Linked DNA regions of Macaca fascicularis. The protein of the gene in region 1 purifies or fractionates together with the protein of each later gene. This does not show direct contact. Links are inferred from orthologs where the notes say so. Each region holds a gene or a part of one and is shown in the gene's direction. Other genes may lie near its edges.

The links.
Region 2: the proteins of THAP11 (region 1) and CTBP1 purify together in Homo sapiens (co-immunoprecipitation; 4 studies listed by BioGRID and IntAct, with this or other methods). This does not show direct contact. The link is inferred for Macaca fascicularis from reciprocal best matches to the Homo sapiens genes THAP11 and CTBP1.

The regions. Positions count from the first base shown.
Region 1 is NC_088394.1:63,893,259-63,897,295, forward strand, and holds THAP11 (THAP domain-containing protein 11), read left to right. Parts: upstream 1-1,527; 5' UTR 1,528-1,762; coding exon 1,763-2,689; 3' UTR 2,690-3,048; intron 3,049-3,136; 3' UTR 3,137-3,384; downstream 3,385-4,037. UniProt on the Homo sapiens protein: Transcription factor, which has both transcriptional activation and repression activities. Also modulates chromatin accessibility.
Region 2 is NC_088379.1:1,321,828-1,325,644, reverse strand, and holds part of CTBP1 (C-terminal-binding protein 1), read left to right. Parts: intron 1-2,029; coding exon 2,030-2,236; intron 2,237-3,817. UniProt on the Homo sapiens protein: Corepressor targeting diverse transcription regulators such as GLIS2 or BCL6. Has dehydrogenase activity. Involved in controlling the equilibrium between tubular and stacked structures in the Golgi complex.

The DNA.
Region 1 (4,037 bases):
AAATTGGGAGAAGGAAGAACTCGGCAGAGGAGGGCTAGTTTGCAGGTAATTCCCCTGAAGGACTGCCTGGCCCCTCCCTGGCTTTCCACAACATTTTGTGTTCTTTAAAACATTTTCCCCCGGCCAGGCGCTGTGATACTAGCTCACGCCTGTAATCCTAGCACCTTGGGAGGCCGAGGCGGGCGGATTGCCTGAGCTCAGGAGTTCGAGACCAGCCTGGGAAACATGGTGAAACCACTTCTCTACTGAAAAAAAAAAAAAAAAAAAAATTAGCCGGGCATGGCGGCGTGCACCTGTCGTCCCAGCTACTCGTGAGGCTGAGGCAGGAGAATTGCTTGAACCCAGGAGGCGGACGTTGCTGTGAGCCGAGATCTCACCACTGCACTCCAACCTGGCGACAGAGTGAGACTCCTTTACACACACACACAAAAATTTCCCTCAAATAAGTTGAGATAGGGGGGAGGTGTATTGTTACAATGCAAATCCTTTCGCATTAAATCCTTTAATAGCTCTCAGTGTGGCCTGCAGAATAAAACCCCAAATCCTTAACATGTCCCAGTTTGGTATTTTCCTACGCTTGGTCTACCTGGGCCACCCCCTTCCAGGTTCTTTAAGGGCGGAGCCTAGCTCTTTTCTGCCATGTGGCCTTACAGACTGGTTCCCGGGACACGAACTGGGTACTTCTCCCTACCCAAGCTTTCGTTCTTTATTCCTGGCCACCCCCTCCCCCGCTTCCATTTCTCTGCTCTCCTGTTCATTCCTTTAGAGCGATTACTTTCTGTGAGTAGACATCCATTCGCGTGCATTCAGATCTATTATCCAAAAGACAGAGGCTCATCCGTCTAGGCAGTCAGGCTCCAAGAGAGGAGCCCAGTCGGTCTGACTCCCGGAAACTCCGTGCACTGGGTCAGCCACATAGTAGGCGTCTACTGGAGACTTTGTTTAGGTCAGGGAGTCAACGCAGGCAGCAGCTGAATCAGGAGAGAGTCCCCAACGCAGACAAAGGGGCTCCTGAGACCCTTCGGGGCGCTGAGGCCCAGGTTTCGTCTCCCTCTGCTGCAGCAATGCCGTCGACTCAAAGGCGCTCAGGGCTGGGGGACTGGTTCTGGCAAACAGCACAACCTCGCCCGAATACTGGTCCGCAGTAACTCGATCTTTCCCTTAGGCGGCGCTTCGGGTCGCAGGCGCCCAGTTCAGGGCGAGGCATCACGGGATTTGTAGTCTCCGTGGGCATATACCCACCGCGCTTGCGCACCGGTGAGGCGCGCACCGCCCCTCTCCACGCCCCTATCAGGATTCGGGTCCTCGTAAGGAGCAGTCCAGGCGACAGCGTTCCAACCTAATACGCCTCTCTCGCCCGCCGGGGACAAGCCGGGCTGGAGAAAGAATCCGATCTTCGGAAGCTGGCGCCGTGCCTTGGAAGGCGGCCGGAATCCGCACACACCCGCCCCGGAAGTGAGCGGCTCCTGGCGCGGGGCATTGTGGGGGGCGTAGTCTCTTTCTCAGGCGGTCCTTCGCGGCGTCCCCGGGGCCGACTCCCGAGCGCAGGCGGGCAGCCAGGCGGGCGGCGCGGCGCGGGCCGGCAGGAAGCGTATTCTGGGCACGGGGCGCCGGGCGGGCCGGCTGCGCCGAGCGGCAGTGGTGGGATACCACCCAAGGCCTCGCGCGGCGCCGCCCGTCGAGGGGCGGGCGGCGGCGGAGCCACTGGGCCGTCGAAGGGCGCAGGAGGCCGGTGGGCCGGGCCGGGCCGCGCGGCGCAGCCATGCCTGGCTTTACGTGCTGCGTGCCAGGCTGCTACAACAACTCGCACCGGGACAAGGCGCTGCACTTCTACACGTTTCCAAAGGACGCTGAGTTGCGGCGCCTCTGGCTCAAGAACGTGTCGCGTGCCGGCGTCAGTGGGTGCTTCTCCACCTTCCAGCCCACCACAGGCCACCGTCTCTGCAGCGTTCACTTCCAGGGCGGCCGCAAGACCTACACGGTACGCGTCCCCACCATCTTCCCGCTGCGCGGCGTCAATGAGCGCAAAGTAGCGCGCAGACCCGCTGGGGCCGCGGCCGCCCGCCGCAGGCAGCAGCAGCAGCAGCAGCAGCAGCAACAACAACAGCAGCAGCAGCAGCAGCAGCAGCAACAGCAGCAGCCGTCACCCTCTGCCTCCACTGCCCAGACTTCCCAGCTGCAGCCGAACCTGGTGTCTGCTTCCGCGGCCGTGCTTCTTACCCTTCAGGCCGCTGTAGACAGCAGTCAGGCTCCGGGATCCGTGCCGCCGACGCCCATCACTCCCACTGGAGAAGACGTGAAGCCCATCGATCTTACAGTGCAAGTTGAGTTTGCAGCCACAGAGGGCGCAGCCGCTGCGGCCGCCGCGTCGGAGTTACAGGCTGCTACCGCAGGGCTGGAGGCTGCCGAGTGCCCTATGGGCCCCCAGTTGGTGGTGGTAGGAGAAGAGGGTTTCCCTGATACTGGCTCCGACCATTCGTACTCCTTGTCGTCAGGCACCACGGAGGAGGAGCTCCTGCGCAAGCTGAATGAGCAGCGGGACATCCTGGCGCTGATGGAAGTGAAGATGAAAGAGATGAAAGGCAGCATTCGCCATCTGCGTCTCACCGAGGCCAAGCTTCGCGAAGAACTGCGCGAGAAGGATCGGCTGCTTGCCATGGCTGTCATCCGCAAGAAGCACGGAATGTGAACTGGTGCCCCGGCGGCCTGCTGGACTCCCAGACCCCATCCAGCCAGGGGACTGCAGGCCATTGTTGAACTCCTCTATACTCCTGGGGCACTGGTTGACAGTACTGAGGCTTAAGGCAGCTGGACTCTCTTGCTGGTGACCTGGCATCCTCAACTGTTTCCTCCTGAAGTGGAAGCTGGGGCCTTAGACTCTGCCCTGGTGACACCAGCAATTATGACTTTGTCTACCCTTCTTCCCCAGTTATTGTTGCAGATTCTGGTTAAGCAGAGGCTTCAGAACCACTGAACTTGAAACTTACCCTCTAGGGATGCAGGTGATATGTCCAGGGACTATGAGTTTGGAATAAACCATACCTTAAGGTTGGTCAGCAGTCAGACAACTCTAATGTGTGTAGTGATAAGAGATGCAAGTAACATCAGCTCTCCTTTTCATGCTTTTCCTTCCCAGGTGCAGCCTGTGATTCTGATGGGGACTGGTAAATCTGTGCCTCTGCCTCCTAGGATTTATTTTCCCAGGAGACCATTTACAAGGGGATCTGGATGACCTGCTGATGGAGATCCAGCTTGCCAGGGATTTAGGTTTATCCTGTTTTGTTTGCTACTGGTTACAAATTCTATTTTCTGTACAATTAGTCAGACTAAAGTTTTCACTGTGTTTGTTTGGCAAAACAAATTAAACAAAAAGTAAGGTTTTTATTTGGGTCTCGCCATTTTATTTTTACAAAAACATAGTTAAATGTCCTTGAAACATGGGGAAATAGGCCTCAGCCTATTTGAAAGACCAGGCTGACCCTGAAAGTAGAGATGCTTCAGTGACCAGGTTTTTCCAAAAATGGACCCTAAGCACATGGATCCTGGCCTTACAAGGTCCTCACAGAGTTCCTGGCCCAGCTCACCCTAAAGAGTTTGGAAACTGCACCAAATGGGCCCAGTTTGTCCGTGGGTTATCTCCCTGTATCCTTTCAACAAGGACCAACTGCTTACTAAACTATATTGTGATAGTTCGCCTCTGAGGGTTTTGAATTCTCAGCTGGGATTGAATTTTGCTCACCATGACATCCCTTAGGCTTAGCACAGCCTCTGGTATGCATGTGCATGCAGTTACTCTACGAACCAGTAAGACCACAGCTGGAGCTAGCCAAAGCTGCTTCAGGCACAAGGACTCTTGTATAGATACCTTGGCCTTGGTACACCTTTGGTGTGACAGATCTGTATCCACAGGGGGCATTAAGAAGTTGGGAGGTGTGATCCCTTGACTCATTTTCTTGGCTGCCTCTATTTTTTTTTCCTTTTTTTTTTTTTTTTGAGATGGAGCTTTGCTCATGTTGCCCAGGCTGGAGTGCAATGGT
Region 2 (3,817 bases), on another chromosome or scaffold:
CACAGGGGGAACAGCGGGGTGTGTCGCAACCCAGTACACATGCACTCAGCACGTGGAACACACACACACAACACGCACATCTGCACCTGTGCACGTGCACTCAGCACAATGCACGTGCACTCAGCACACAGAACATGTACACTCAACACACAGAGCATGCACACACATCTGCACCCGTGCACGTGCGGTCAGCACGCAGAACACACACATCTGCACCCATGCACGTGCACTAAGTACTCGGAATGTGCACACTCAGCACACAGAACATGCACATGCATCTGCACCCGTTCATGTACCCTCAGCACATGGAACACTCAGAGGACACGCACGTCCGCACCCGTGCACGTGCACTTAGCACACGGAACACGCACACAGCACACAGAACACGCAGACGTGTCTGCACCTATGCTCATGTACTCAGCACATGGAACACTCACAGAACACGCACATCCGTACCCATGCACCTACACACGCACACGGAACGTGCCCACGTGTCTGCACCCGTGCGCACTCATTAGAACAAACTCAGGGCGGTGCTTGGCCGTCCTGCGTGGAGCGCACTTTGTTTTCTGCCAGGCTCCGTCTGTTGTGGGTTGTTTTTGTTGGTTTTTTTTTTTGAGACGGAGTCTCGCTCTGTTGCCCAGGCTGGAGTGCAGTGGCGCGATCTCGGCTCACTGCTGCTTCCGCCGGTGCCCATGGGCCAAAGCCGTGTGCCAGCCGCCTCCCGCCTTTGTCTCTGTGGCGGCATCCTGGGAAAGGCCGGCTGTGGTGTCAGGCGCAGGCCCGGCTGTGCGGTGTTGGGTGCAGTCCTGGCTGTGAGGTGTCAGGTGCAGGCCTGGTGCTTTCTGAGCGACCTCTGCTGTTTACCATCTCCGTTGCCCATGGAGTTTCCCAGGCCCGGGCTCTGTTCTTCAGCCAGGGACAGTCTGGGGCACCGCTGGGATCTGGCCCACGCTCCAACGTCCCACAGTCAGGAGGCCTTTCTTCCAATCTCGTGTGGTGCTTGGCTTGGCTCTCCCTCAGTCTCCCTTGTTTAACGTTTTTACGTCCAAGTGAGTTGTGTCTGGGGCGATGTGGGATCCCAGCCTTGGCCTTGTGCAGCGCCTGCCCGCGCTGCCCCACGTCAGGCCCCCTCCCGACCCTCGGAACCCCTCACGGAACCACACGGTCCTGTCCAGCCTCCGGGCATATGAATGCAGCCCTGTCCTGGCCTCCTGCCCCTTCCTCCTCCCCAGAGAGACGGACGGCCAGTTGGACGGCCAGTCAGACGCAGGAGTGCAATCATCTGAATGGGGCGGGAAGTGCCGTGCAGGGGAGGCGCTGGCCAGGGACAGGCCAGGGATGAGGATAAATAGGCTCAGGGAGGGGCCCTGGCCGGGGAAGGGCCTGCCTCTGGGACAAGGCTGGGAGCGGGCAGTAGGGGTTACACTCGAGAGAAATGGGATGGATTTGCTTTCTAGGAATGGCTCCAGCTGCAGTGTTATTGACTGCGGGGTGTAGGGCATGGAGGGCGGAAGGGGCTGCGGGGGCCTGGCTTGGCCTGGGGGAGGCCTGAGGACATGTGTGGATGTCCATGTAGGGGTGTGCAGGTGGGGCCAGCACCCAGATTCTGACCTGGCCGCAGCCTCCCCGCAGGGTCCCCCTGGAGGAATCAGGGCAGCGAGGTGACGCGGGGAGACATGTGCTTGTCTCTACATGGGCTCCCAATGCTGAGTTGGGAGGGGTCAGGGCAGCGTCTCACGCCCCGGCCCCACCACACACCGAGCAGTTTGCTAGCGTGTGCTGCCACGTGAACCTAAAGTGGAGGTGGGGCTCCAGTCACAGGGCACAGGCGCCAGGCCAGGTGCTCTGTTGCCCCCGAGCCTGGGAGATGTGCGTTCATTTCGTGGCCTCCCAGGGTGGCCTTGGGGACGTGGCCTTTGGCTTCTTCCTCGGGAAGCTTCAAACCTGCTCCAGCCACAGTAGCCCTGGTGTCCTCCCAGAGGCTGGGCCTGGCCTGGAGGTGACCGCCGTGTCCTTGTCCCCACAGGCATCGCCGTCTGCAACGTGCCTGCGGCGTCTGTGGAGGAGACGGCCGACTCGACGCTGTGCCACATCCTGAACCTGTACCGGCGGGCCACCTGGCTGCACCAGGCATTGCGGGAGGGCACGCGAGTCCAGAGCGTCGAGCAGATCCGCGAGGTGGCGTCCGGCGCCGCCAGGATCCGTGGGGAGACCTTGGGCATCATCGGACTCGGTGCGTCAGCCACAGCTGCATGCCTGTGACCCTCCCTGTGCCTGGCGCTGCTGCTCTTCAGCCGTGCCCAGAAGGAGAGGCCCAGGGCGGGGTGGGGCTGCGGGTGTCGGTCCCAACCCAGGACAGGACTGAGTGCAGCCCAGGCGCCAGGGCCCAGGAATCCCAGGCTGTGTGCCCTACGTACGCGGACGTCACAGCACACATGTGGGCCTTACACGGGCACACACGGATGTCACAGCACACGCGGATGTCACAGCACACGCGGATGTCACAGCACACGCGGATGTCACAGCACACATAGCCTCACACAGACATCACAGCACACACATGGGTCTCACACTGGCCTTCACAGATATCACAACACCACAGCACACGTGTGAGCCTCACACAGACAGCACGGCACACGCTGACATCACACACGGACGTCACAGCACACATACAGGCCTGCACGGATGGCACATGTGCCACAGCACACGTGGCCTCACAGATGCCACAGTACACATGACCGCATGGACACACACAGACATGACACATGGACGTCACAGCACACACATGGACCTCAAAGGCACACACATAATACACGGATGTCACAGCACATAGCCTCACACAGATATCACAATACACACGTGGGTCTCACACCGGCCTGCATGGACGTCATAGCACACACGGCCTGTACAGATATCACATAGAACACCACAGCACACATGGGCCTCACGCAGACATCACTGCACACACAGACATCATACACGGATGTCACAGCACACATGTGGGCCTCACACAGGCCTGCACTGATGTCCCACATGCCACAGCACACGTGTGGGCCTCAGACATCACACATGGACATCACAACACACACGTGGGCCTTACACAGGTACACACAGACAACACAGACGTCATAGCACCCACAGCCTCACACAGCACACACATGGGTCTCAGGCCTGCGCAGACATCACACGGACGTCACACACACGTGAACTCCACACAGACATCACATGTGGATGTCACAGCACACACGGGCCACACGGGGACATGCAGATGTCACGGCACACACGGATATCACACGGCACACATGGGCATCACACGGATATCACAGCATACACGATACCACGTGGACACACACCGGTGTCAGTCATGGGCACATGGGCATACAGACCCGGGCATACGTGTGGGCACACACATCAACCACGGTCTAGCATGCGCTCACCCCTTGAGGCCTCTGGGGCTGGCTGCGTGGGTCCTGCTGGGGCTGGGGTTCGGGCAGCCGCGGGCTTCCTCCGCTGTCACCAGCAGCCGGCCCTGCGCCCGGGGAGTGGTTTGCCCCTCAGCGACCCCTTGCTCTTCATTTGCCCACTCGCTCTGCAGCCGCCTGTCCTGGGCCCAGCACCGTCCTGGGTCCAGCATGCAGCAGTGAGCAGGCCCCACACAGCCAGGCCCAGGTTGAGCTCAGAGCAGCAAGCGTGTGTGTGTGTGTGCGCGTGTGTGTGTGATCCTAGAGTGGAGCCATGTCTTGAGAGAGAGGAGCTGGGAGAGGCCAAGCGAGGTCACGGGGGAGCGTCTGGGCGGGGCCCAGGTGTGAGGTGG